Linked DNA regions of Macaca fascicularis. The protein of the gene in region 1 interacts with the protein of each later gene in a pairwise test. Links are inferred from orthologs where the notes say so. Each region holds a gene or a part of one and is shown on either strand. Other genes may lie near its edges.

What was found.
Region 2: the proteins of FHL2 (region 1) and BANP interact in binary tests that used the Homo sapiens proteins (3 or more experiments, as listed by UniProt). The two-hybrid records come from large-scale screens. The link is inferred for Macaca fascicularis from reciprocal best matches to the Homo sapiens genes FHL2 and BANP.
Region 3: the proteins of FHL2 (region 1) and CSN2 interact in binary tests that used the Homo sapiens proteins (3 or more experiments, as listed by UniProt). The two-hybrid records come from large-scale screens. The link is inferred for Macaca fascicularis from reciprocal best matches to the Homo sapiens genes FHL2 and CSN2.
Region 4: the proteins of FHL2 (region 1) and NRF1 interact in binary tests that used the Homo sapiens proteins (3 or more experiments, as listed by UniProt). The two-hybrid records come from large-scale screens. The link is inferred for Macaca fascicularis from reciprocal best matches to the Homo sapiens genes FHL2 and NRF1.
Region 5: the proteins of FHL2 (region 1) and ITGA7 interact in a two-hybrid assay, tested with the Homo sapiens proteins (2 studies listed by BioGRID and IntAct). The link is inferred for Macaca fascicularis from reciprocal best matches to the Homo sapiens genes FHL2 and ITGA7.
Region 6: the proteins of FHL2 (region 1) and NIBAN1 interact in binary tests that used the Homo sapiens proteins (3 or more experiments, as listed by UniProt). The two-hybrid records come from large-scale screens. The link is inferred for Macaca fascicularis from reciprocal best matches to the Homo sapiens genes FHL2 and NIBAN1.
Region 7: the proteins of FHL2 (region 1) and RAI2 interact in binary tests that used the Homo sapiens proteins (3 or more experiments, as listed by UniProt). The two-hybrid records come from large-scale screens. The link is inferred for Macaca fascicularis from reciprocal best matches to the Homo sapiens genes FHL2 and RAI2.

What each region holds. Positions count from the first base shown.
Region 1 is NC_088387.1:9,816,308-9,820,217, forward strand, and holds part of FHL2 (four and a half LIM domains protein 2), read right to left. Parts: intron 788-3,910; coding exon 608-787; exon of another isoform or gene 604-607; intron 1-603. UniProt on the Homo sapiens protein: May function as a molecular transmitter linking various signaling pathways to transcriptional regulation. Negatively regulates the transcriptional repressor E4F1 and may function in cell growth.
Region 2 is NC_088394.1:83,903,097-83,907,006, reverse strand, and holds part of BANP (protein BANP), read right to left. Parts: intron 2,336-3,910; coding exon 2,219-2,335; intron 538-2,218; coding exon 362-537; intron 1-361. UniProt on the Homo sapiens protein: Controls V(D)J recombination during T-cell development by repressing T-cell receptor (TCR) beta enhancer function. Binds to scaffold/matrix attachment region beta (S/MARbeta), an ATC-rich DNA sequence located upstream of the TCR beta enhancer.
Region 3 is NC_088379.1:63,990,047-63,994,573, forward strand, and holds the start of CSN2 (beta-casein), read left to right. Parts: upstream 1-1,365; 5' UTR 1,366-1,413; intron 1,414-3,617; 5' UTR 3,618-3,629; coding exon 3,630-3,680; intron 3,681-4,392; coding exon 4,393-4,419; intron 4,420-4,525; coding exon 4,526-4,527. UniProt on the Homo sapiens protein: Important role in determination of the surface properties of the casein micelles.
Region 4 is NC_088377.1:171,159,578-171,163,487, reverse strand, and holds part of NRF1 (nuclear respiratory factor 1), read right to left. Parts: intron 2,893-3,910; coding exon 2,778-2,892; intron 1-2,777. UniProt on the Homo sapiens protein: Transcription factor that activates the expression of the EIF2S1 (EIF2-alpha) gene. Links the transcriptional modulation of key metabolic genes to cellular growth and development.
Region 5 is NC_088385.1:62,483,124-62,487,033, forward strand, and holds part of ITGA7 (integrin alpha-7), read right to left. Parts: intron 3,658-3,910; coding exon 3,402-3,657; exon of another isoform or gene 3,085-3,401; intron 2,913-3,084; coding exon 2,781-2,912; exon of another isoform or gene 2,546-2,780; coding exon of another isoform or gene 2,509-2,545; coding exon 2,389-2,508; intron 1,489-2,388; coding exon 1,281-1,488; intron 1,148-1,280; coding exon 954-1,147; intron 596-953; coding exon 507-595; intron 393-506; coding exon 265-392; intron 115-264; coding exon 19-114; intron 1-18. UniProt on the Homo sapiens protein: Integrin alpha-7/beta-1 is the primary laminin receptor on skeletal myoblasts and adult myofibers.
Region 6 is NC_088375.1:42,349,005-42,352,914, forward strand, and holds part of NIBAN1 (protein Niban 1), read right to left. Parts: intron 2,868-3,910; coding exon 2,706-2,867; intron 684-2,705; coding exon 573-683; intron 1-572. UniProt on the Homo sapiens protein: Regulates phosphorylation of a number of proteins involved in translation regulation including EIF2A, EIF4EBP1 and RPS6KB1. May be involved in the endoplasmic reticulum stress response.
Region 7 is NC_088395.1:17,706,567-17,711,276, reverse strand, and holds the start of RAI2 (retinoic acid-induced protein 2), read left to right. Parts: upstream 1-1,827; 5' UTR 1,828-2,031; exon of another isoform or gene 2,032-2,072; intron 2,073-2,541; exon of another isoform or gene 2,542-2,618; intron 2,619-4,710.

The DNA.
Region 1 (3,910 bases):
CCTGTTAAATACTGGTACAAGTGACCAGTGGTCTCTGCTGAACCACGCTGTGCCATCCCAGGAGAGCCGTGAACGCATTTCCCCATTGAAAGGAAACAATACAAATCCTGTCCTTCTCTCATTAAAGGAAAAGAGCCCACAATCTTCCAAGGACTTTGTACTTTTATGTGCCCATTTATCCAGGAACCCACTCTGGTTCTCTCATGCACACATTCATTCATCAAATATTGACTGAGCACAGCACCTGCTCCGCGTTACTCACCATGGGGCAAACAGACAAGAGGAAGAGAGCACCGCCCTTAAGAAAGTTACAGTGTTGGTAGGCAGCTGGGTGGTTAGATAAGGGCACTAATAACTAGAACACAGAGAATGTACTCAGAGACACTAAGCACGAAAGTCCTGGCAAGGCCTTCACCCAGTGCTTGTGGGCAGAGATCACATTAGCTAGAGGGAAGAAGCTTCCGAAAGGCTACATGCAGGGTCCACACCTCTCGGAGGGGGCTCAAGAGACAGACTTTAGTGGTGGATCAGGGCTTCAGCACAAATCACAGAGAAGCCCGTGTTTCTTGGGGGAGCAGCCGGGGACCCGCAGTCCCGTGGCAGGTACCTTGCAGTCACAGCCGATGGGCTTCCCACACTCCTCGCAGGTGTTGGCGAAGAGGGTCTCGAAGCACGCCACGCAGTAGGGGCTCTCCTCCCGCAGGATGTACTTCTTGCCAAAGAGAGATTCGTTGCAATGGTGGCAGTCAAAGCGCTCAGTCATTTTGACACCTGCCTTTTCAGCAACCTATCAAAAAGAAGAGAAAATCCAGGTCCCATTAAGCACTCTCTGAAAGAGATGCACGCAAAGACATTAACTGTCCCACTGTCTGCCATCTTTAGCTGAAAGATGGTTAATTCCTCTGGATGAATAATTAAAACTCACCCTTTAATAGGTCATAATTTTCAATGATAACACCTTTTTTGTTTTCTTTTTCATTAGCTAAGGCAGTTTTGTGTTTGAATGCATTCACTTCGTGTTTTGTTTGTTTGTTTGTTTTGAGACAGAGTTTTGTTCTTTCATCTAGGCTGGAGTGCAGTGGTGCAATCTCAGCTCACTGCAACCTCTGCCTCCCAGGTTCAAGCGATTCTCCTGCCTCAGCCTCCCGAGTAGCTGAGATTACAGGTGCCCACCACCATGCCCGGCTAATTTTTATATTTTTAGTAGAGACAGGCTTTTACCATGTTGGCCAGGCTGGTCTCAAACTCCTGACCTCAGGTGATCTGCCCGCCTCGCCTAGCAAAGTGCTGAGATTACAGGCGTGAGCCACCACACCTGGTCACATTCCACTTCTTGAAAAGCACGAATTATTTTTTACTGTGTCAGAAAAAGCTATCTCAGTTTTAAATACAGGTAAGGGCTGGCACCAGAGCCCCCATCCTGTCCGGCTGTGACCCAGCCTTGCATCTTCCCCTTCTCCCTGCCCCCAAAATAGAAAGGCAGCCATAGAAATAATATGTCCATTTCTATAAAAAGATTTTCCATGAGCTCCTCTTTATGATTCATGATTTGAATAGGAAGAAATCACAGCGGCAAAAGGGAGGGAGATCTGACCTGGGAAACCTGAGAGTAGATGCAATGAGGCCACTATTACCCTTGACCTCCGTGCTGCATTGGGAGTGCAAGCTGACCTTGCACAAGAGAAACTGCCAAAGTCCCTGAGGATGAATCATTGCTCCCTATGGGAAAGATCATCCTGCAGCTGCCCAGGTATCCTGAGAGCAGGATAAAGGGAAAGATTCACTTCTCAAAACAATGATATGGAATAGTCAGAAATGCAGTGGCTGCAGTCAATGGCTCTCTGGGCAACACTTCAAGCCCTTTTAACAGGAACAAGACACTGGCGAGGTTGCGGAGAAAAGGGAACATTTATACACTGTGCATGGGAGTGTAAATTAGTTCAACCATTGTGGAAAGCAGTATGGAGATTCCTCCAAGAGCTAAAAACAGAACTACCATTTGACCCAGCAATCCCATTACTGGGTATACACCTAGAGAATTACGAATCATTCTACCATAAAGACACATGTACAGGAATGTTCATTGCATCACTTTTCACAATACCGATGACATGGAATCGACCTAAATGCCCAGCAATGACAGATTGGATAAAGAAAACGTGGTACATATACATCATGAAATACTATGCAGCCATAAAAAACAATGAGATCATGTCTTTGGTGGGAACGCGGATGCAGCTGGAGGCCATTTTCCTTGGCAAACTAATGCACGAACAGAAAGCCAAATACTGCATGTTCTCACTTATGAGTGGGGCCAAATGAGGGAACACATGAACACAAAGAGGTGAACAACAGACACGGGGGTCTACCTGAGCAGGGAGGGAGGGTGGGAGGAGAGAGAGGAGCAGAAAAGGTAACACTTGGGTACTAGGATTAATACCTGGGTGATGAAATAATATGTACAACAAACCCCTGTGACAACAGTTTACCTATATAACAAACCTGCACATGTACCCTGAACCGAAAATAAAAGTTAAAAAAAAGGCGTCCCCACGCCCGGCACACTGTACTTTTCCTAGGATGAATACACGGTGTGCATAAGTAGCAAGGGACGGGCCCTTCTCTTATGACCATTCCTATAAAATCATGTCAGAATGATCCTGGAGAGAAAACGCCTACCGCAGGAATAGCTGGTGTGGAGAAACGTCCGTAGGGCATTAAAAACAGACAAGTTTCTTCAGGAATAAATGGCAATATTCCATTTCCTAAAAGTGGAAACTTTTCTCTGTTGTTAAATAGGTACACCGGGCTGGGTGCGGTCACTCACGCCTGTATTTCCAGCACTTTGGGAGGCTGAGACTGGTGGATCACCTGAGGTCGGGAGCTCGAGACCAGTCTGGCCAACATGGTGAAACCCTGTCTCTACTAAAAATACAAAAAACAAAACAAAAACCAAATTAGCCGGGCACGGTGGTGCATGCCTGTAATGCCAGCTACTCACGAGGCTAAGGCAGGACAATCGTTTGAAACCAGGAAGTGGAGATTGCAGTGAGCTGATAATGGCACCTCTGCACTCCAGCCTGGGTGACAGAGTGAGACTCCGTCTCAAAAAAAAAAAAAAAAAAAAAATAGGTAGACTGGTTGGCTATGTAACTGTGAGCAAGAGTTCACAGGCTCTAAGAACACTTGGTTCAATTTGCAGTCTTCAAACGATAGGAGAGTGAAATCCCAGAATCAGACCTTCTGATGCAAATAAAATATTATTGCCTGGTTTATGATTACAGGAAATTTGATAGAGTTTATTAATTTTGTACTATTGCATATACACGGTCCTGACAACTGTAAGCAAGGAAAAGATCATCTTTCAAGCATCCATTCTTGGATATTTCTGTGTTTACAGAATAATTCTCTTCCAAGAGCAATAAATACGCAGCTGGACACATGTGGCAAGATCCGTCCTTCTAAATCACTCTTCCTGGAGTTAAAGAAAACATTGCCTGGACATTCTTGTGATAACATCACAAGATGAGGCTCTTGAGCACTTGAATTATTGTTCTGAAACCCAACGTATAAATATCCTTTGTACCGCGGCCATCTCGGGTTGGAGCAGCCATGTTGGCACAAGACTCAATGCTTTCCTGTAATTGTTCAGTTATTGGCCTTGAAAGTGGCTGTCATTTATTTCATCGCAATTGAGAGCTGCTTTTCCAACATATATATTTTTCCGATAATAGGTGTGATTTAGCTGTGGGACAAGAGGCTCATGGGCCATTCTGTGCCCACAAACATAAGAATAATAACTTGGGAATTTGAAATAAGAACCATGAAAGGACAGAGAACTATAAATTGTGGAATTGTAAAAGCTGGAAACAAATCCCCAGATTCTCTATGACAACTTCCTCATTCTATG
Region 2 (3,910 bases), on another chromosome or scaffold:
TGGAGTGCAATGGCACGATCTCAGCTCACCGCAACCTCCACTTCCCAGGTTTAAGTGATTCTCCTGCCTCAGCCTCCCAAGTAGCTGGGATTACAGGCACCTGCCACCACGCCTGGTTAATTTTGTATTTTCAGTAGAGACAGGGTTTCTCCATGTTGGCCAGGCTGGTCTTGAACTCCCAACTTCAGGTGATCCACCTGCCTCGGCCTCCCAAAGTGCTGAGATTACAGGCGTGAGCCACCGCACCCGGCCACTGTATCACTTTTTTAAAAAACAACTAAATTAATTTCTAAAAAGCAAAACAAACAAACAAAAATCCTCCTGCTGCTCTGGCCAAGGAAAGAAGACGCCTGGGACGCACCTTCTGAGTTCAGGGTGATGAGGGTGACGTTGCTCCCAATGCTCTGGCTGCCCGCCTGTCCGCAGCTGGACACCGAGTCGCTGGCCTCCGAGCCGCTCTCCCCGTCTTCATGGTGGCTGTCTTCTTGGCCCGGCACCTTCACCACAATGGTGTTCTGCCGACGCCCAGGCACAGCGCTGAACGGGAAAAAAACACACCAACCCAGTGTGGTAAGAGCCACAAGCAGCACGCGAAGGTCAGTGCTTTCCTTATCACAAGATCTAACTCTGCATGGACCAGTGGATCACACAGCCTTCCCAGACCGCTCTCTCTACCAAGATTAATAGCAACTCCATAGGAGAAAATGGCCCGGGGCTAAACGAAACTGTATAAAATAAAACTTAACCATTTAAAGAAAATATTTGTATCACAAAAGAAGTAAAATCATAACTCACTGGGACTCAGGCCTAGTATGCTGCCTTCTGAGTTCAGCAGTCAACCTATAGAATGCTGGTAGGAGTCTTTTTTCAGGCGAGGTTAAAGGAAAGACTAAATCAGAAGACTGTGCCCAGAGGCCTGGGTCAATTCGATCCATGCTGCTGGGCGTGCTGGAGATGGCTCCGCCTCTGCAAAGCAAGCAGCACTCCCAAGTATGCCCACAGGCAAAAAAACCCTGAAGGGGCTTAAAAAACCCACTGAGATCCCATCGGAGCTGCCATCATCCCAAGGGCTGCTGATGTGGAAAGACAGAACACCGCTAGCAAAGCAGGGCGAGGCCAGCTCCACAAGTGCTCAAAAAAAAGATGATTTAGAGACTTACTACTTCCCTTTTTTAATGACCCTTTCAACATCCCCTACCGTGGACTGCTACGCACCAGAAGAGAAAGGACCACAATTTCTCTATTTGCAAAGTCAAAAAAAAGGGGTGCTGAAAACACTGGCCGCACCCAGAGGAGGCTGCACTCTGCGCTTTCTGGCCTGGGTTCTCCAGAGCGCTGTCCATGCTGAACCTGATCTCAACACTGGCTATCTGCCTGGTTGACCTCAGCGCAAAGCCCCCGAGGCACAGCTGACCCTGGCACCTCCTCACCACCCATCACCAACTCCTCTCCCTTCACCCCACGTATCAGACCCTCGTGACCACAGCTGCAGCCCTGGAGAACTGAGCTAAGACAATACGGAAAGGGGACGAAGCTGGAGGAGGAGCAATCCACAAAGGAGACTGAGAGAAAAAGCAAATAGAACTTTGTGAAGACACAGATGGGAAAGAAAAAGCAAGAGCATCCTCAGGGGTTCACGCAGCCCTAAGGGGCACTCCTGGGGAGAGCAGGGCCCGGATGCCAGCCAGAGGCCACTGCACAGCCTTCCCCTCACACAGGGCAGGGATGGCGTCTTCTGTCCACTCCCACCTCTGACCCAAGTTCCGTTCAAAATGTCTCAAGAGAAAAAGGCATAAGAAAAAAGTCATAAACTCAACATGCCTGCACCACTTAGCAATCGTGGGAGAGGGTGTCTGTTTGCCTGACACGCTCTGCACAGACAGACAGACGTCAGGACCACTGAGCTAGGTGGGAGGATGAATGCTTTCACTGACTGCTGTGAGGAGACAGAGCCAGCCCCCTCCACAACCCCAGCCAGCACGAGACACGGAAGTCCCCGGCGGCAGCTGCCCCCTGGTGTGGCTGGACTCAGCACTCAGCATCACCCAGCCTGCCCTCCCCGACCTCAGAGAGCTGGGGCGGTGCCTGCCAAGCTCAACCCTGTGACCACAGAGATGAAGTGCGTGCTGGACTGTGCCCTGGCTTGGGGACGTTGACTTATTCTCACGGGACTCCTCACAGTGGCAGGGAAAGGTGGGGTTGGTGCCGTGCTACTGACTTGCTAATGACATTTTCCAGGGAATCCGGTGCCCTGTTGCTCAAGGGGTCTTCCATCTTGGCTACAATGGCGTTCTGCCGATCATTGTTGAGTATTACTGTAGTCTGGGGGACGACGCTAGGGAACAAAAGAATCACAAAGAAAAAGAAGGCCTTAAAACAACAACATTCATGGTAAGAGCACATAAGAGTCATTCAACACAGTCCACTCCCAGGGACCCGCAGTGAGGGGGAGGCCTAAGAGTCATTCAACACAGTCCACTCCCAGGGACCCGTCCTGAGCGGGGAGGAGCCCCAAACGCTAAGGAAGAATAAACTGGAGATGGGGTTTTTAACAGCGTAACTTTCCTAATTGTTGGTGTTCTGTCTGCACAACTGGATAGGCTCAGGACAGCCGGGATGAGGATGCTGAGTGTGTGACACAGAACAGACTGCGACCACACCAGCTGTTATCACACCCAGTTAATAAAGCTTCTGGGGTGACACACTTGCACGAAAACCGGCTTGACATTTTCAGTCACTCCATCCCAACTAATTCCTATGGTACAGATCTAACGTTCGTAACCATGTAAGTGTTGGTATCGTCCAAAACGGTAGCGCCCTAGAAAGAAAGGGGCAAACATCACAGTGGATTGGGATGGAAGGACACACGTGCTGCCTCCAGGTTGTGCAGGAACATGTGTGAGCCACAACCACAGGGCTCAGGGTTCTGCTTTGAAGGAAACAATTCTACCAAAGAACAAACCACGGCCCAGAAACCACCAAACCTGGTGCCACCCTGGAGGAAGCACTAGTGTGTTCAGACAGGCGGGCTAACACAGCTTCATCTCAAAGTGCAGACTCACCCACAGATTTCAATTGTGCGTTTTTAAGCCTTAGCACTTTCTGGTCACAAGGGATATCTAAGGTACACTTTGTTGTGGAAGGGTGGGGAGAGAAGGAACTAGCACTTGAAATACAAAGTGGTTATCACCTGAGGATAAAACACCGTTCTTGAACTTCACTCTCCAAAAACCAGCTTGGGAAGCCTCTGCCTTTCTGTGATGTGCCCACAGGAAAATCCAGCCTAGCGTCCCTGTAACTGTCCCCACATTGAGTGCGAGCACAGCGCCATGCCATGCCCGAGTAAATCACGGGACCACAAGGTTTTCTTCCTAAAATAAAGGCATAATCAACTGCATTTAATTCAAAAATACTATTTTTAAAATTCCTCTACTTGTTATTGGTGACACCTAAAGTTAACACAACAAAACCTGATAAATGACCTACAGATCGGGTATGAAAAGCAGCCCAGGTGGCTGCTGGCTTGGTCACCACAGTCACCTACAGGCTGCAACAGTCCTATGCTCCTCAGAGATGTGGAACTGGAGAGGTTACCTGGCTTGCACGAGCTTGGTATATTCTCCAAGTGGAGGCTATGGAACACTGGTGCCCCGGGATCCTAGGCTCACAGCATGTGGGAAGGCTGGTGTCCCGGGATCCTAGGCTCACAGCATGTGGGAAGGCTGGTGTCCCGGGATCCTAGGCTCACAGCATGTGGGAAGGCTGGTGTCCCGGGACCCTAGGCTCACAGCATGTGGGAAGGCTGGTGTCCCGGGATCCTAGGCTCACAGCATGTGAGAAGGCTGGTGCCCCGGGACCCTAGGCTCACAGCATGTGGGAAGGCTGGTGTCTCCGGATCCTAGGCTCACAG
Region 3 (4,527 bases), on another chromosome or scaffold:
TCCATTTTTCTTTCAAATCTCTAATATATTTGCTTCTAGTGAATTATGTCACAGTGCATGTCTGACATGCACAGTCATCCATGATCTGATGACTCTGCAATTGTAACTTGTATTGTATGCTCTCTGAATATCCCCAAACTTGGTATATTGCTCTTTCAGTTCCTGTGTTTTCTTCAGCCAAAATACCTATCCCCATTTAATCATCTCTCAATATTCTACTCATTCTCTAAGGCTCAACTAGAAGAGCAGTTCCTTAATGGCAAGCTCCCCTGCCACACTCAGCACAGAGGCCTTACTTTTCCAATTCAGGCATAATTAAATTCTACATATTTCCACCAAATGCTACATTGATAGATAAATTTTATTTTAAAAATCAGGGGGTTAAGACATGGGCTCTGGGACTCACATGTGATCAACCAGAATCACATGTAGTCAGACAACCTGGGTCCAAATGATATCTTTGCCATTAACAATATAGTTTTGAGCAAGTTACTTAATCTTTTGGCATCTCTGTTTTCTCAACCTAAGTATGGAGAGGAGAGCTACCTCATGATGTTCTTGTGAAGATTATACAAGATAACGTCTTTGCTTAGTGCTTGGCAAAGGGTTAGAACTAAGTAAAAAATAACCATCATTAATATTATCATAATTATGCTTGACATGAAAAGAGATAATCAATATTAAAAGGTAAATAAAACTCTGTGATACTTTGCAAAATTTTTATTACAGATTTACTGAAGATTTTGCCTTTACTAGCCACCCAGATTCCTTCTTTGAGTTGTTTCATTACAGAGGAAAGTTTATTTATCTTGTGTATAAAATATTTGTTTTAACTAAATAATTTATATATTTTTTCCAAATCAAGTGGCCCTGGGAGAAAAACAGTTTGCCTCAAATAACAGTTTGCCATCACGGACTTGTTATCTTGTCAGTTTTTCATTTCAACATAAAGCACTGACAACTGCTCAGGTTCACATGAAACTGTGGCCTTTGTGAAGCCCTGTGTATCTCTAGCGTTCACACACAATTTTCCCACAACTGAAATCTCAAGGCCCCACTAAGCCCTAAAGAGATCTAATTATGTCCATAATAACTTGGGGACAGGGCCAGAGGGTCACTGTCCTCCAGTCATTGTCTGTTGTTATTGAACAGTTGCATTTCCTGGACAGGTTTCCTTTATCAACTTGTGAATTGTTCCCTTGTTACAATGATCCCCAGAATTTGTGGGGACATATAATAGGCAGAAATCATTTTCTAATCATGTGGACTTCTTGGAATTAAAGCTCACTGTTGATCTTATTTCAAACCACAAAATTAGCATGTCGTTAAATATTGTATATAAACAGCCACAGAAGCTGATAGACCATCATCTGTCCAGCACTACCTTCACTTCTCTTCAATCTTGGAAAAACGGTAAGAATTTTAGATACGGATTTGTTGTATCTTCTCCTAACCACGTATTTCAAAGTAGCTTGAGCTATAGAAAAAACATAGTTGCTTAAAATATAGTGTTTGAAATAAAAGTATTTAAGGTAGTACTGAAATTATTTTTAACACTTAGGCTAAAAAAGATAGAAGTGCCCAGAAGAATTTGGTAAAAAAATTGCAATGACGTATAGCCTTCACGAGTTTAAGAAAATGTAATAACTAATTTTATGCATATGTATATTTAGTATGAGGCTAGTTCATAGTTAATATTAAAAGGAGATTCATTTTTGAATTAATCTTCCAATTTGATTTAGCATATCACAGCCATAAAAAGAAATATACTTAGATTACAGTGTGGGTAGATAAATAATTACTGGAAAAGCTTTATCCAACAGGTAGTTTACAGCAGTAGCATACTGAGTCAAGAAATAGAGGGAATGGTTTGAGGGCATTTACTACTTTAAATATTTATAAACAATGTTTTCAGAAGAGTTTACTCATCAAACTTGTCTAGAGCCTCAAATTTCCCAGTTTATTATCTACTTTGTAACATTTCAGAACAATATTAAAATGAGACAGAAATACAGAATTAAGTTAAAAAGAAACAATGTGATTTACTTTGTAAGAAAATTCTTAATGGGGTAGAGAAGACTTGGAAACCATAAACAAAGATAATAGATGATATAAAAGAAAATAGCTCAGAGCGTACCAGTCGATAAAGAAACTCTGACTTAAAAATTAGTATATAGTATATTTATAGTATATAAATTAGTATAAAAATTAGTATAATTGGTATTAGTATATATTAGTATATTTGTATATAAAATTAGTATAGTAATTATATATTAGCATATAAAATTAGTATATATTAGTCGATTAGTAATAAAATTAGTAAAGTTTATAAGCAGATTACTTATAAAATATAGAAAATGCTGTGGGATCCTCCCTAAGTGCAATTATATACAAAATAGAGTGCTATATTCTTTTTCTGAACCCCGACATAAAAAATTTGGAAACTTATGGAGGTCTTAGGCAAAGCAAAATTAATAAAAAAATATTTAACATTCATAAAAAATCTAGAAAAAAATTTATTTTCCATAATAGAGAGAATTATGTTCAACTTTCAAATATTGAAAAGAACATTTTTCAAATAAATTAGAGACTTTTTTCATGAAGTATTTTTAGTTCAAAAATTGAGTTTCAAAATCTGAAAATGAAGATTTGAGTGTCAAGTAATATTGTGGCATAAACATTATTTTGGAATTAAAAAAATGTAAGAACACATAACAAGGAGATGATTTCGTATATTTTGGTCATAAATGTTAACATATATTTCACAAGAAGAGGTAGTCCCAAGCTGGACAGTGGGCAAGAGGTCCTGACTCCTTGGCAGATCATCAAGAGACCTTTGTGTACATTTTAATACAGAGAAGAGAAGAAGCCTAGTGTATAATCTCTAAAGTCATGGGGCATAAAGGAGAACAGATATTATTAGCTATGTGGGGAAGATGGATATAAACAGAGAAGAAACAAACTTTATAGTCCAACAATTCTCTGGATAGTGACACAAATAAGGAAAGTGTTAAAATGAAAATCTCAGTCTTATTGGAAATGAGGAGAAATAATTAAACTAAAATATTCATGGTAACCGTTTAGTGAAAATAAAAATATAAAAATAAAATGTGACTTTTTTGTACACATTTTCTTGATTAGTCTCTTCCAGTAGAACTGAGGCTCCATCAGGGAGTAATATCAGGACTGTAATATTTTGCTCATTGCTGCAGTCCTGGTCCCTAGACAGTGTCTGGCAAGAACAGATTCTAAGGAAATATTTTTATATTAATGAATAAATCTTTCCATATATATTTATAACTTCTTTATGCCTTTTGAAAAATCAATACTGCAAATGGGACGTTTTTAAAAGTGGGGATGAGTTGTTAGCTGAAATATCTGAATAGTTGGCAATGAAGTTTGGAATTTGATAAATGAGAATAGCAAGCCAGAATAGATTTTGACCTGAGTCATATGATATAACTTCTATTTAGTATTTATTCTATTTATTTTCTAAAATGTAGACATTTTTGTCATACATTATCTCTCTTTTTTATAAAAAGTAACCTTACCTAACTAAATAAGAAATATATCCAATTAACCAATCTATCACTATTCAATTTTTTCTCCATTCACAGGACTTAGTAGCCATGAAGGTCATCATTCTTGCCTGCCTGGTGGCTCTTGCTCTTGCAAGGGAGGTATGTGCACAAGAAAAAATTCATAAAAATCAAGAAATAGTGGACTATATGCCTATTTGTAGAGAATAACATCACCAACATTTTTTACTGTATAATAAAGAAGAATTTCATGAAAATTATCTTGACTTCTATCAAAATCATTTATATTTACCCACTGTCTCAACAGTTTCCTATAGTGCTCCAAATGCTTCCGACACCAATGTGCTGCTAGTCACTAAAGAAAAAGCAAACAAATCAATAAGTAATAAAAAATCATAAAAATGGCAACAAATACATGCATAAATAACTCCACAGATGCTCAACCTAGATAAACATATCTTATTCCAGTCATAAAATGTATATATATCTTATAGCCTAGGGCACTGGGTCCAAGTCTGTCTATACAAAGGCATCCATAGGATGAAGTACAGACACAATCATAATCCTAATCATACATTCATAATAATATAGTAAAAATATTTAATACAAATTAAAGTGACTCAACCATCAAAAACTGTCTTTAATAAATGTAAGATAAAAGTATATTAATAAAAATTACTAAATGTAAAAGACATTAAAGCAATTACCTTTCAAGCCTCAAAAGTCATATAACATTTTTAATTTGTCACATTTGTGAAAGAGATAGATCTGCATAAATGATGTAAAAATTAAGTAGGATACATGTTTAACAATGTGTTAGCTGTAGAAACTGAATTTTTAAACATCTTTTCAGAAGGAACAATCCAGTGCATCCTTTGAGGTAAGATTTTTTTTGTTTAGAGAAAATTTATGAACCATAAAATAGTAAAATTCTCTAATGATCTAGAAGATGTAGCTGGTTGTCATTTTTTTTTTTTTTTCCACAGAC
Region 4 (3,910 bases), on another chromosome or scaffold:
CCTGTCTTCACAAAAAGAAGAAAAAATTTGCCAGGTATGGTGACATGCACCTATTGTCCCAGCTACTTGGGAGGCTAAGTGAGAGGATCACTTGAGCCCAGGAGATGGAGGCTGCAGTGAGCCATGATCGCACCACTGCACTCTAGCCTGGACAAGAGAGCTAGAATTTGTTCTCCAAAAAAAAAAAAAAAAGCATTTTAAAATTATGGTATGTACATTGCTTTTTTTAGACATAATACCACTGCAACACTTAACAGAGTATAGTGTTAACATAACTTTTTTATGCATTGAGAAACCAAAAAATTTCTGTGACTTATTGTGCTACTTGCTTTATTGTAGTGGTCTGGAACCAAACCTGCAATATCTCCAAGGTATACCTATGCTTTTAAAACGTTGTAGCTTCAGATTTTCATTGTGATATAAACAATTATTCTCAGTCCTACAGTATTTCACAAGTGAGGATGAAATGAAAACAGTTTTTTTTTAAGATGGAGTCTCACTCTGTCACCTAGGCTAGAGTGCAGTGGTGCAATCTTGGCTCACTGCAGCCTCCGCCTCCTGGGTTAAAGCTATTCTCCTGCCTCAGCCTCCCGACTAGCTGGGATTGTAGGCGCCTGTCACCATGCCTGGCTAATATTTTGTATTTTTAGTAGAGATGGGGTTTCACCATGTTGGCCGAGCTGGTCTTGAACTCCCGACCTCAGGTGATCTGCCCACCTTGGCCTCCCAAAGTGCTGGGATTATAGGCGTGAGCCACCGTGCCCAGCCGAAAACGGCTTAAAAAAATTATTTTACTTTAAGTTCCGGGATACATGTAGAGAATGTGCAGGTTTGTTACAAAGGTATACATATGCCATGGTGGTCTGCTGTACCCATCAACCCAAAAACAGCTTTTTAAAACATAGTAACAATGGATGAAACAGAAACACAGCCTCTTCCCTCTGAAATCATGGGAGATGATTTCAAAGTTCTACATTTCAGAATTCTGAAATGTGTGAGCAAAGGACCACTTATCAAACAAGAAATCTGATGGAATGCCTTGAAACAATGGTTTATATTCACTGTCTCTAATTCCCCTCTCTCTATTCTCCCTTAAAGCTATTCCAATCTTTTCACCCTTACCGCTCCTTTGAATACACTCTTGTCAAGTTCATTCGTGAACTCCATGTTACTAAATCTAATGGTCAGTTGGCATCTTTTTCAACCTGTCAGAAGCATTTGATAGCTGATCACATGCTCTCCTTCCTGACACACTTTTTGTACCTGGTTTCCAGGATACCACTCTCTTGGTTTGTTTCCTGACTCACTGGTTGCTTCTTAGACTCTTTTGCTGGCTCCTTTCATCTCTCTAACCTCCAAAAGGTGGAGCGCTTCAGGCCTCAGTCCGTACTCCCTCCCTAAGTGACCTCATCCAGTCTCCTAGTTCTAAATACTACTTATATGCTTATATCATCTTCAACTAAGGCCTCTCATTTGAATTCCAGACTCATATATCCAACTGCTTATTTTGTATCTCCACTTAATGGTTAGAGGCATCACAAACTTACCAGGTCCAAAACCAAATTCCTGATTCTGTCTCACCCTCACTGTCATGCTTGCTCCCTCTCCAGTAAATGCCATCGCAATCCTTCTAGTAATCGGACCAAAAATCACCCTGCACTCCTTTTTCTCTCGCACACTCCACGTCAATGAATCATGATGAGTTGACTTTTGAAATACATCTAGAACCTGATCACTTCTTACTACCCATGCTGCTGCCATGTTGATTTTAAGACACTATCATTTCTGGCCTAGATTACTATAATCACCACCTAATTGGTCTCCCTGATTCCATTCTTGTATCCTCAGATTCTATTCTCAACACCGTAGCCTGAGTGATTCTTTAAAAATGTAAGTAAGATGATACCATTGCTCTGGTCAAAAACCTACACTGACATCTCATCTCACTCAGAGTAAGAGTCAAGAAGATCTCCTAGGCCAGGTGCAGTGACCCACACCTGTAATCCCAGCATTTTGGGGATGAGGCACAAGGATTGCTTGAGGCCAGGAGTCCCAGACCAGCCTAGACAACATAGCAGGACCGCATCTATCAAAAAAAAAAAAAAAAAAAAAAAAAAGATCTCCTGGAGTGGCTCTTCTCTACTACTCCGAACATCTTCTCATATCTCCCTGGCTGTTCCTCAAAAACAACTACCACATTCACACTTTGGGGTCTTTGTTCTTGATATTCCCCCTGCCTGAGATGTTCTTCCCCTCAGTATCAACGTGTGTGCTCTTTCAGCGTCTTCAAGTCTCTGTTCAAAGGCTGCCTTATCAAAAAGCATTTCTCAGACCATCCTCATAAAAGAGAAAAATGACTATATCCCCCTACCTCCTGACTTTTCTATTTTCCTTACTCCACTGTATTTTTTTTCCCATTGCACTTATCATCACCTGACATATTGCATATCGTTTTTTTTCTTTCCCCCTTCTAGCAGGATACAAGCTCTTTAAAGCAACTTGTTTTGTTCACTCTTCTATGCCCAATGTCTACAACAATGGCTTGCACATAGCAGGCATACAACTTTTCTGAATGGATTAATGTGATATTACATATCTGTTAAATCATATTTCTTTGTTTTCATGTATTTAATTTTGTAAGAATACTTTTAAGTCTACATCTGTCATCAAGGAATCAAATCAAGCATCCTTGACAAACCTAACCATATATGTTCTAAGTCTGTCATTCACAGGAAGTATTTGAGGAATAGTAATAATATGGATAAGGGAGCCCTCACCGAAGCAAACGTGTTTGTTGCCTCTTCCGGATAGATGGATTAGACTCAAATACATGAGGCCGTTTCCGTTTCTTTCCTGTTGCCACAGCAGCAGCAGCGGCCATTCCCACAGGACCTGAAATAATAACGTATGTGCTGAGATTAGGCAGCTGCCTGTAAACTGTTCAAGACAGAAACAATTAAAGGTACAAAAAAGGTAGCACTGCGTTCCCAATATGTTGTCAGTAAATATAGAATGGTCCTGATATTATCAATATACTTCACTATTGTTTAACATGATTCATATTGTGATTTACCAATAAAACATATAATGAATCTTGTAAAAAAGCAAATGATTTACACCTCCCCACCACACACCAGTTTGAATTTTGTATAATGTTGTTTTTGTTTGGCTTTGTTTTGCCAGCATGCCCATACTGTTAAGGCAATATTCTTAGAGGTGCTAGGAAAAATTGCAGCACTAAGAGGAAAAGCTTGCCAAAATTGAAAAAATTTACAGATTTTACTTCTATCCCTGTGTCCCTGTTTCCATTACTCCAAGACACTGCCAAGTTAAGGAAGTTGGAGATAATCACTCACATTTGGAACTCCAACAACACCTAAAGGAGTATCTGAATGAATACCATCGTAATTGAAAAAATTTTCTTGTATATCTGGGAATTGTGCCAAAAATGGAGATGTTCAACACAAGGTCAAGTTGATGAAGGCATTCTGGCAGAAAAGAGATAACTTTCCCACTCTGAGAAAATGTTAATAAAAGTTAGTCTGGCTTGCCCTGAAACTAATAATGTCTTGTTTTGTCTTTTCAAGGGTAGATGGAGGGTAGACTCTAAGGAACTGTTGAAGTCTCTGATTCCTGGGACCTCAACATATCAAAGACAATCTTTTTTAAAAGGCATGTTACCTTTATCTTTATTTGTGAATCTTGTAAAAGGCTTAAATAAAAATTAAATTTAATTGCTCATCTGTATATTGGCATATATATTCTAAGTGGCTCAAATAAAATAAGCCTCCCTGTAAACCTAAATGAACTTTTCTACATGTTGTTAGTAATATAATCAGCCTGACTTAAATAAACCCCTCTAAAGAACCTCAAAGCAAATAAAAAATAAACGACTGCTTTTTACCTTTCT
Region 5 (3,910 bases), on another chromosome or scaffold:
CACCCCATCCTGCCTCACCAGACCGAGTGGCCGCCAGCACAGTTGGGCTGCTCCAGGTCAATGCTTCGTGGAGCAATAGAGACCTCATGGGAGACATGGAGGACGGGTCTGGCCCTGGAATTGGGGAGTCAAGGGCACCAGAAATGTGAGAACGTGAGGCTGGGAAACAATCTTGAGCATTAGATTTGGCACCGGGATGGGGGTCAGAGTCACAGGGAGGGGCTGACACCCTCAGGGAGGGAGAAGTGGTGGTGAGGGGCTCACCTGAAGAGCACGACAGTGTCAGCCAGGGAGCCCACCAGCAAGTCAGGGTATTGATTCCCATCCATATCCAAGCTGCCTGACAGGGAGTAGCCGAAGCTCTTGATGCCCACAGCCTCGCCCTCCAGCACCTAGAGAACCGGCTGTCAGCCTCCCTCGATCCCAACTCCCTCAGGCCTCTGCCTCCCCGATGCCTCTGCTGATTCCACCCACACCCATTCCCTCATCCCAGCGACTCCCCTCACCTGCGAAGGTTTGGCGACAACCCCCAGGCTGCTCCCATGGTAGATGAAGACTTTACCATCACCATCAAAGGGGGCGCCCACTGCAATATCTGCAGGGCACAGGGAAAAGGCAGTCACCCTGGCTGGGGGCCTTGCAGACAAGGTCCAGGCCTCAACTTTTCCCCAGTCACTCAGGTATGTTTTCTATTTTATTGAGAGGCTACAAAATCCCAGGCACTCTACGTACATCATCTTTAATCCTCTTGGCCACTCCCTGCAGACATTACTAACGCAAAAAGGTTAGGTAACTTGCCAAGGTCAGAAAGCCGGTAAATGGTAAAGCTCAGACATAAGCCCAGGAACCCTCACTCCCGGAGTCCTCAGAAGACCGCACCCTGACCTCTGAGGGGCTTCCCCATCCCTCCTGCGGCCCCTCCCTCCCCTGAGCCTTTCAGTTCCCAGTCACACCTGGAAAGCCATCTTGGTTGAGGTCCCCCAGGACAGCCAGGCTGATCCCGAACATGGAGTCAGGGGAGCCGCAGAGCCGGAGAGGGGAGATCCCAGCCCAGTGACCCCCCTGGTTCAAGTACACATACACGGCACCCCCCAGCTCTTCTTGGCGCTCAAAGAAGTAGGGGGCACCCACTATCAGGTCTGGCCAGCTATGGAGAGAGGGAAACATTCAGTACGGGTCCTCCCTGGCCAGAGGAGCCAGCAGGAGGCTGAGTGGCCTCAGCCAGAATGGGGCTACCGGACCCAGCCTCCCTCAGGTGGCACGGCCCTCTACCCACTCACCCATCACTGTTGAGGTCAGCCACAGCCAGCGAGTAGCCGAAGCCGGAGGTCAAGCGCTCCCCAGACAGCATAACCTCAGGCACCAGGCGACTGGCGCTGTCCTTGCGCAGGATGACCACAGCACCCTTGTGGTTGGCACGGGGGGCCCCAGCCACAAAGCTCAGCTCTTCTGCACGCACCAGACCTTTCCCCGAGTCAATAGAGAAGCCTGGGGAAAGGGTGACTTACCCCTAAGTCTTCACCCCAAGACCCAGAAGCTGGGGTTTGTCACAGCTCCCCCATCCCCTGCCCCTCCCCTAGGTTAACAGTCAAAAGATAGGTTCCCCAAGTCATCAGCACCACAGCTGGATGGCTCTTCCTTCCCGCAGGGCCTGGCAGCCCCCCACACCCACCAGGCCCAGAGACAAGCTTGGCACAAAAAGTGCAGTGAGGTCAGCCTCAGGGAATGGGCAGGAGACAGAACGGTGATGGCTGAGAAGGCCAGGAGCCCAGGTAGGAGGCTGAGCACAGTGGCCTGATCCTGCCCACACCCAGGGAGCTAGAAGAGCTAGAGGTCCCTCTCAGGCCCGAATCCCACCCAGTGCACCTCTTCTCCCCACTCCCTCATCCTGACAGGAATGGGAAGTCTTCACATGGATGAGGGGGAGACAAGGGGGAGTGAGAGAGAGCCTGCTTCACCCAAACATCTCCCAGGCCTGGTTTCCTCCTCCTCTGCAGAGGGAGGCAGATGAGACAAGGAGAGGGACTTACCAACACCACTAGCCCTTTCCTCAATATGTGCCCACCATCCATCCCTCAAGGAAAGTCCCCCTAGAAGGCAGGACTGTCCTTCCCAGGATATCCTCAGCCCTGGCCCTCTCACTCCACCTGAATCTTCCTCCCTGGAGATCCCTGGCTCACAGCCCCAGAGGCCATCACCCTTGGGGCCTCCTCTTCTTAGGCCTGGTCACTGGACCCGGCTCTTCTCTGCAATTTGGGCCCAATGTGTGTCTCCCTGGGTGTGTGTTGGGGGAGGAGGAGATTATAAGGCACCAAAGGTCAAGTTCCCTGGGGAAGGAGGGGAGGCCAGGCCATGCCCCTAGAGTCCAGGAGGTGGGAGCTTACAAACCTAAGTAGCTATTCAGGGCCAAGTCTCCGGCTGGTCCTGGGAGCCGGTCAGCAGGGTCCAAAGTTTTATACACCAGCTGGTCAGGGTCTGAGCTATCAATGTTGGTCACAAAAAGCAACCCTGTGGGGGGTAGGGGCAGACACCAGGGACGGGACATCCAGAGGAGGGGCCACAGAGTAGGGAGACAGAGCCACAGAAAGGCCAGAAAAAGGTGGAAGAAGAAGAGGTAGAGAGAGAAAAAGAGACCAGAGAGATCACAGCCAGAGACAGAAAGACAGAGAGAGACAGGGTGAGAGACAGAAACAGAGACAGAAGGATGGGAGCATGGAGAGGGAGGACAAAAGAGAGGAGCAGAGGGTTAGAGCAGCTCTGGGCCGGGGAGGGGTCCCTACCAAAGTAGCTGTTGGCAGGGACCGGGATGAGGCGGGGGTCCTGCTCCTTCTCACCCCCCGCCTCGTAGGGACCGTCGTCCAGGTGTGCCAGGTCCGCTGAGCCCTGAGCACAGAGCTCCACCCTGGCCGTGCCTGCAAGGACAGTCCTGTTAGTGCCCAGGGCAGGGTGCAAGAAATACCCCTCAAGCTGGACACTGAGTTAGACAGGCACACGGGGAAGCCCCTCCTCTTCTTTCTAGCCCTCTCCCCACCCTGTTCCCAACCCAGGCTTCCTGGGGTCCCCCAGATGTGGCATCACACTCACCGAGTGTCAGCTCAGCCAGCAGCAGCGTGCGGAGACGGGAATGGCAGTGATGAGGTGTGGGCTAGTGTGTTGGAGCATGCAGGCCCCAGCTGCAGGCCCAGCGTGCACTTGGGGCCCATGCCAGCACGTTGAGGAACACTTGGCCGTGCAAGGGAAAGGAGGCACCCCCCACTCACGTGTGCACTAGCTCAGTGGGGGTGGAAGGCATGGCAGTGCCCTGGGGCCATACAGCAGTGCACATGTGGTCATGCTTGGCCATTTCTCCGAGGTAAGAGGAGGTTTCGGTCCCCTTCTCCCCTCCCCGAGGAGTGACTCACCCTTCCAATTATAGGTTCCTGGGGCCCCAAAGAGGAGGTAGTGGCTATCAGGGGAGAAGGCGGCAGCTGTGCCCTGCTGGCAGAACCCAAATTGTTCATGGCCTTGGGGGCGCCCCTCACAGAACTTCCATTCCCCACCATCCAACTCATCCCGGATGGCCAGGTCCTGGCTTAGCACAAAGCAGCGACCAATCATATCCCGTGTCTCCAGGATCTGGTCCACTCGCTGCCTTGCCTCATATCGGTGTGCACAGGTCTGGGGGAGGAAGGGATGGGGATCATTTCACTCTGTGGGCCAGGGACCTGCTTGAGGCATGCTGCCCACATGCAGAGATTTGGCAGACACTGATACGTGTGTGCTCACACGCACACGCACATGCACACATACACACACATACCGCTATGCCGGCACCACTCAAGCACCATTACCCTGCCAATGTTACGAAGGTCCGTGCATAACCCAGCAACCTGTCTGCACCCACTTCCTTGCCCTCAAATGGACATCTCCT
Region 6 (3,910 bases), on another chromosome or scaffold:
CCAGTTAATGCACAAGTTCTTGTAGGGATCAAGTAAAAGCCTTTAAAATATAACATATGCGCAAGCTCCTATTATTAAAGCTATTTTAATATACACTTACGCTGAAGTACATTTAAAACAATTTCATATGGTAGGTTTCTTTTCCTTGGAGTATTTCCTTTGCCATGAGGTTTTGATTTTTCAATAAAATATTTGCCAGTTTAATGGATTTTACCATATTTGTAACCTCTTTGAAGAAAGAGGCTGGGCCTTGCCTATTTTTACATCCCACACAATACTTATGGTGGACAGCCAATAAATGTTTGTCGAGTTCTATCTCTATGAAAGCTGGGACACAGGGCCTCTAGCTGTGGGTAATGGTACTGAGGACTAGCAGTGGTCACTAGATGGCAGAAGAGGCATGGAAGTCACACTGGAGAAACCGCAGCAGATTGACAAGTCACTGGACTTCGGAGAGGAAGGAGTGGGGAAAGATTAGAGCGAAGGAGAGAACATGGTATTTTCCACTTCACAAAAGAAACAGGGGTCACGTTCTCATTTTATGCTTCCCACAAACAAGAGAACGGTTTTACCTTTAAGACTCGGAGCTTAACCTTCTCAATAGCAACTGCAGTTTTGGAGGCCTCTCCTTGGAGATGTGGGGAAAGCAACTGCTCAAAAGTGAACACTGCATTCTCCATTAGCTAGAAAGCAGAAGTGACACAGAAACAGACAACAGTCAGAGGCTGGGGTCACCAACCACAGGCTGGCTAAGTGGGCTTGGAGAGTAGGGGCCATCAGAGATGAGTCCCCTCGGCTGTTACTCTGGGGGTGACCCACAGCAACATCACCCCATCACCAAGGCTGTGAAACAAATGGTCACGTGGCCACAGTGGGAGCAGGAAGAAGTTGGAAAACCCAAGGCCATGGGACTGAGCAAGCGTTCTGTCATCTCCTGTGGGTACTCCTCTTCTATTCTTTGATACCTGCAGCCACTGATTAAGGGATGAGGATGAGGCTGGAGCCTTCTTCAACTAGTTTTTGGCTGCACCTCCACTTTTAAGTGGATGTAAAGCACTCCGCAGCATCTCTCTCCCTCTCTCTGCAGTGCTGGGAAGGCAGGAAGGGTCAGGCATGGGTGGGGACAGTGGCTGACATGCTCATGGCTCAGAAAGCAGAAGTAGTTCAGGTATCTTATTCTCTGCACCTTTGCCTGTGTTCCCGTCACCAGGGTCCAATATTACGAAAGAGACTTCTGCTAAACTGTTGCCCAATTTTGTTCCTTCTTCCTCTTTCATCCCTCACAACTCAAGGGTTAGCTAAAATGTATCACTTAATCCTGTCCATAACTTTTATGAAAAAAAAAAAAAAATGCTCCTTTCTTCCCCAAGCCCGTGATCCCAAAGCATCCAATATACACTTTTTTTTTTTTTTTTTTGAGACACAGTTTCGTTTTGTCACACAGGCTGGAGTACAGTGGCACACTCTTGGTTCACTGCAATATCTGCCTCCAGGGTTCAAGCGAGTCTCATGCTTCAGTGTCCACATAGCTGGGACTACAGGTGTGCACCACCATGCCCAGCTAATTTTTTTGTATTTTTAGTAAAGACAGGATTTCGCCATGTTGGCCAGGCTGGTCTTAAACTCCTGACTTCAAGTGATCCACCGCCTTGGCCTCCCAAAATGCTGAGATTACAGGCGTGAGCCACCGTGCCTGGCCACAATATACACCTTTATCATACCTTCAACGCTGTAGTGAATTTATCTAAGAATTTGTCTCACTCAAGCTCCCTGAAGTGGGATCTGGTACAGTGTCTGGCCCACAGTAATCTCTCCTCAGAATATCTATGTGAAATGGCATGGTGTCCTTTAGAGTGTTGATGACCACACCCCTTGTTCATTCAAGAAACACCATAATATGGAAGGAGTTTGTGCTATTCATTCCTGTTACTGGGGAAAAGGTTCCTTATGAAAAAAAAAAAAGAAACCTGTCAAGCAGACTCAAGAAATTCAAATATGAAGCTATGATTGATTGATTGATTGGTTTGCTCTTAATTACATTACGGAATTAATTTAAGCCAGTGGTTCTCAATCCTGGCTGCATATTAGAAGCAGCTGGAATCAGGGTAGGGACGTTCTATCAAAAAGTAGCCATATAGGCTGGGTGTGGTGGCTCATGCCTGTAATCCCAGCACTTCAGGAGGCTGAGGTGGGCAGATCACTTGAGGTCAAGAGTTTTGAGACCAGCCTGGCCAACACAGTAAAACCCCATCTCTACTAAAAATACAAAAATTAGCCAGGCATGTTGGCACATGCCTGTAGTCCCAGCTACTCAGGAAGCTGAAGCAAGACAATCACTTGAACCTGGGAGGCAAAGGTTGCATGCAGTGAGCCAAGATTGTGCCACTGCCCTCCAGCCTGGACATCAGTATTTCCCCCAGGTGATTCCAACGTGTAGCCAAGGTTAAAGCACTGATTTGACAAATCGAGTAGTTATCAATTAATGCTACTTTATTTTTCTGAGCTATATCTTGTCTATGATGTTCACCCACATGGAAGGAAGATGAAGCCAGTGGAGGGACTGAACATGTCCTCCCCCAACATGATGGTTAAAGAGATGCGACGCATTTCCCTCAGCTACACCAGCAGCCAGTCTCACTGGTCAGCACCCATTTCTCTGCTCTCTCTTCACCCTCCTCCACCAGGGATGCCCCTGCCACACCCACCTCCTGCATGTAGTTCTGTGTCCTCTGAACCACCAGATCGACGTGGGGGAATCTGAAGCGGCTCTTGAGATCCTGCAGGCGCTCGTGAAGCAGGTTGACTTTAGTATAACAAGGTTCCATCTTCACGGAATGCAGCGGAAGATTCATAAGCCGGTCTAGATGCTGCATTTTGGTGAAGTGAAACATTAAACACCCTCAGATTGAGGAGTGGTATTGCATACATATTGCATATTACATACATTCTAAACAATCAAATGCATGTTAAAGTGAATCACTACTCAGATCCCTACATCTGTGACACCTTCAACTGTCTTATTTTCCTCCTTCAGTGGGTTCCTAGGGTAGCTGTAATGGTAGGACAGAAACCAGCAGAAACACCAACTGGATGACAGGAAGACCCAGGGGTGCACCCAGGGGGACTCCAGTCTTTGTAAGCTGTTGATGGATTCCAAGCTCCCACTTCCAGAGCCCAAGAACCAGGCAGGTAGGCTCTGACAAATGGTTGCTGCTAGGCCCCCAGGCTTCCAAAATCTTCTTTAGTGAGTGACACTCCTCTCAAAAAACCCCAGGGAGGTCGGGATGCTCCCTGGACTCCCGGACTTTGGAAGGGAAGCCAGAGTTTCTCGCAATTCTATGAGGCTCTGCCAGGGCCCACAGGGCTTCCCTCTGCTATAGGTTGCTTCAGGTGCTAAGGGATGGGAAGTGGAGAGGCAGAGCCCTGAACTGGGAGAGGTATCCAGTTTGAAGAACTGGCGTCCCTCCTACTCTAGTTTGCGCTCAATCAATGAGGTCATTGGGCTTCCAGCATCAGACCTCACCTGCTAAAGCCCTAAAGTGTTATCAACAAATGTTGTTGCAACAGAATGCATTCTGTTTTCCAAGCTTATTTTAAAATCATTTTTTAAAGGGGATACTGGAGGTTTAAAATAAACAGGGGAATGGGTGGAGCAGAAGAAGGCAGAAAGAAAGGTTCCGAAAATGGAGGGTCTAGAGGGAACGGGGGAATGAGGCAGGGTACATATGAATAATATAGGATGCACTGTCTGACTTTCAGCTTACGCAGAAGAGATAATCTAGATTTCTAGGTTTCTCTAAACAGGAATTTTAAAAGGGCCCAGTCTCATTATGCTTTAAAGGGAAAATACTGCTCCCTTTATGAAGTGAGTTATGGAGAGGTCCACTGAAGTGGAATTAAGGATTAAAAG
Region 7 (4,710 bases), on another chromosome or scaffold:
CACCTCAAAGGGCAGCAAATATGAATCACAACTGCCAGTGAGGATCAAACATTAACCCAGGGTTGCGATGAGGCCAACAAAAGAAATAGGCTAGTAATTGCCTTCCAGGATATCAGTCCCTACCTTATACACACATACCCCCTCAACACACACAAAACCTTTATGGATCTTTCATCCATGAACTTGCCCAATTATAATTGCCCAGCTGTGTCTTTAGTTGTATTCAGACTAGGTCTTGGCAACCGAGACCTCACATACCTTATCCAAGAACTTCTATAGAGGAAGTCTTTGGTTACTGAAATGATTGAAGACACATTCATAGACAAATATTTCCACAGGTATCATTAATTAGTTGGGGCTGATTTTAAACTCCCCAAAACCTGACTGAAACAAGTAGAAACTGACACTTTCTGTTGATATTCATTATTATCAATTCTTAAACTTGCACTGTGTGTCTTTCCACCCCTGTATGGTCTGGGTACTCCTTAATTTAACTCTTATTTTTCAAAAGAGGAAATTCAGTATCAAGGAACGGTACTACCAGGGCTGACTTCTCCCTTAAGCACAGTAGACACAGTGCCTGGGGCTCATGGTACTTTTAGGCACCCACATCAATCTTTTAATTTCTTTTAAAATCAGAAGAAAAAATGTTTTTTAGGTTGAAGAAACTGTTTTAATATATAATACTATTATATTCATCTTTACACCAATGCAATTGTAAAATGTAATTTGTAATATCTTTCTATGGAGGAAGGAGTCCACAAAGGCAAAAGTGCTCAACACAGTCATCATTCAGCCTCAGTTACTACCACCTTATGCCTGCAACACAACATGGTTAGAATAGAGCCTTTCAAACACAAGTTCAGGCTCCCATACTAATTAAAAACTGTGTTATAAAACTCAGATTTGATAAGAGGAAAGTCATGGTTAATACACATAGTATTGGAACTTCAGGGGGCTCGAGACTGCCAAGAACAGCTAGATTCATTTTGTTCTGTGCTCCGATTAAAGAATTTCTGCTCTGCTATTCTCTCTCAAATATCTTCATCCTGTTTTGATTAATAGAAAAAATCTTTACATCTTTGGAGAATCATTAAACTAATTTGGTTGCTTCCTTGGCTGTCTCAAGAATTCTAAGGATTTATTGTTTTCAATTTTAAAATGATCAATAGTACAACTGACACCTACTACTTATTTACTGGTCAGCAATCATACAGTCACCGTCCCTGTAACTCCAGTTCTTAGCCCAGTATCTGGCAAACACTAGGCGCTTAATAAAGGTTAGATTTATACACGAATCACCTCTTGGATGGAAATTACATTATGTAGGTGGACTAATTTGATCTTTCCTAATCTCCCACCTTGTGAGAAGCATCTTTCACCGGTATCACAATTGGCATTTTCTTCACCGGTATCACAATTGGCATTTTCGGGTGATCGCTGGGCCCTTCCCACCTCCCCCGCTTCCATCAGCCAGCCACTTCCTCCCTCCTGGGCTCTGTTCTTCGCTCTTCTCCATCCTGGGGTCTGGAATGGTCCCCAGCCCCCCGGGAGGCAGTAGGGTCCCAGCTCCTCAGGCCCTCCCCCGGCGTTCCCCCCAAGGTCCCCCTCCCCGCCCCGGACACCCCTTCCTCCTGGCACCCCGCGCCGCCCACGGCCACGCCCTCCCCGTGGGCGAGATCACCTGTCCCTCCTCCGCCGCCGCCTCCTCGGGTACCCTTTAGCCCCCCTCCTGCTCCCCCTCCTCCGCCGCCTCCCCCAAGCCCTCCCCTTCCCCGCCTCCTCCCACCCCTTGGTGTATATAGTAAAGGCCGGGCGCCGCACGCAGACACACACTCGCCCGGACACAGGCGTACACACGCTCACGCACAACCAGCAGCGGCGGCGGCGACAGCGGCTCGGTGACAGCGGCGACGGCGGCTCCCACCGCGGCGCACCCCCTTCAGGCGGCCGGCGGCGAGGCCAGACCGGAGAGTTCCCGCACCCGCGACCACCCCGCGGCTTCCTGGAGGCGGCGGCCGCGATTGCGAGGTAGCGGGCGCGGCGCCCCCGTGCGGGCCGGGGTCACCCCCGCCCTCCCCGCGGAGCTGCCACTGGGACGCAGGGGGCGCGCCGGGCTGGGCGCGCCTGGCGGGGCCCGGCGCCCGGGGAGGGGCCTGCTCCCGGGGGCAGGACGGCGCCCGGAGGCCGGGGCCGGCGGGGAGGGCCAGGCTGGGGCGGGGACGCGGGCCGAAGCCGCCGCCCGTGTGGCGCGCCGGGGCCCCCGCTCCTGTCCCCGGCGCCGCGCACTGGCCGGCGGGGCCGGGGACTGCCGGGGAGGCGGCGCCGACCGGCGGGGCGGGGGCCCCGAAGTGGGTTTCGGGCAGCCGCCCGCGCTGGCACCGGGCGCAGAGGGTGGTGCACGGCGGACTCTGCGCCCGGGCACCGCACCGGGCAGTCTCCGGATCTGCCGTTCTGCCCCGGCCCAGAAAACCCGGCGCCTTCCAGGCCCTTCGAAAGATGGATTCTGTTGACGTATCTGGCGGCCCTGGCGAGCCTGGTGGAAAGTTGGGTTTTGCCAGATTGCGCCGGGCTCCTCTTTGTGACGCGCGGCCAGCCCCGCATCCCCCCGGAGCCGGGTGAGTGTGCGTCGGCGCCCCAGGAGCCCCGGTGCCCCCCAGTGCCCAGTCCTGGGGTGGCCGCACCAACTCGGGCTTTCTGCCATGTTAGGCACTGAGTAACGTTCTCGCTGCATTTTTGCGTGCATTTCAGTGGCGCCTTTTGCTGCGGAGGGAGTTATTGCTTCTCTCCGCTGTGGCTTTTTCGAGGTTGGGGTTGTGCTCTGTGTGTTTGCTTGTTTGCCATTTAAAGCCCAACTATTGTTCAGGATAAGCTCCGCCTGGGTGGGGAAATGGCATCCCACCACAGTTGCTGGCGAGGGGCAGAAATGTTGCCAAACAGCTGCTGCTTTGTGTTCCCCTATCAGAAGTCCCTGGAGTAGGTTTGGGGCACGACGGATGGATGGAGAGAGGGATGGGGCACGGAAGAAAAAGGTGGCTTTGGAGGAGCGGATTGTTACCCACACCATGGCACTCACTCAGTCTCCCTTTCTGCCTGCCAAACTTTTATGAATATTCCTTTTGTGGCAGAGGGAAGCTTAATGAATTTAGCCCAGTTTTCCAAGGAAAAAGCAACCCAGCTTTAACAATGGTTTGATAACTTAATCAATGAAAAAGGCAGGAGAGGAGGACAAGGAGGCGCCGACACCATATCGGGTATGTGGCTGCTGCTTGCAGAGTCAGGTAGAGGAAAGGTGGGCAGGGCACGGCGCAGCGTCTGGGTGACCGTGTTCCCGGAACTGTTGGTAGCTCTCACCTGTGCCCGCTGGTGCCACCCACCGTCGTGCCCTTACGTCCTGGGCTGTTCAGAACCCAGCGATGGGGTTTGAGGGGCGGCTTTCGGCAGTGCGTGGCCCGGCCCCCCTCATCTGGCGTTTTTAAGGATGTGTAAATATTTTGCTGAGGATAAGTGACATCAACAGAATGATATTCCGCAGAGCCCGGGTGTGCAGCGATGATAAATAGATATGGCCAAACAAAGTTTTGATAACCGCGTATTCTCATGGCTCTCTCTGTTTCATTTGGGTCTTTGTTTTTGTTGGTTTAGCATTATCTCGCATCCTCTGGTGTGATCCCTTTATTTAGCTGATTCTTGGAAGCTTCTCTTTAGAACAGAGAGAAAAGCAGCCAGTAGGGAGAAAACAATTCTTAGCCTCACATGCATCAGGCAAGATTTTCTGTGCTTTTCCCAGGGAATCTTTCCCACCGTTTTTTAGATGTCTCCCTTATGTCTCTCTTGCTCCTTTGGAGTCATCAGAATTAGTTGTTGGTAGACCGAGACACTTGTGATAACTTTGAAAATGTGGTGTGGACATGCCTTTGTTACAGTAGAGGGGTGGCAAGGTGGGGGGGACAATATGGAAAGGGACAGTATGGAGGCTAGTTTTCTTCTCAAATGGGAACATGAGAAGCCAGGGGTGGACTGGAAGGCAGAGAATCGTAAGCTTGGTGGCATCCCAGTTTCTCTGCCTCTTACAAGCCCAGAGAAGCCACCTGCCCCCACACCCCCACATACACACAGTCTCCTTCAAAGGGACACTCGCTTCTCATCCTGACAGATGCCCACTAGAGGCATCCCCAGGGCAGCCCAGGCACTGTGAACCAAGTCAGACTAGAACTTGGGGATAGTGACTACTTTGGCACCAGCCCAGGGGACCATTCAACTACCCAAGGGGGTTCCTTTATGATGAAAAAATGGTAAGACCTCCATTGGTGATGTTTTGCCCAGGAAAACCTGTTCATCTGAGGAACAAATGAAAAGACAGTTTTCCAGGTGATGCTGGTCGCTGGGGTGAGAACTCGGTTTGGTGGGCAGTTGGGGAAGAACTGTAAGATACATTTCAGAATCTTGTATCCAGAATACAGAGTCCCTGAGACAGGACCATCTGAATTACAAGAAAGAAAAATCAAAGACTGGAAGGTGTGTGAGGAGCTGTTGCTGGGAGTGCTCTAGCTGTAATGACCCGGAAGCTGAGGATAGGACTGGCCTACCAAATCCATTGACCCAGAATGGAGATATTCTGGATGTACAGAAAGCCCTGCACAGTGTGATCCAAATTTATGATAAGAAAATAGGAAACGTCTGTTCTCTGGCTTCTCCCCTAAGCTTAGA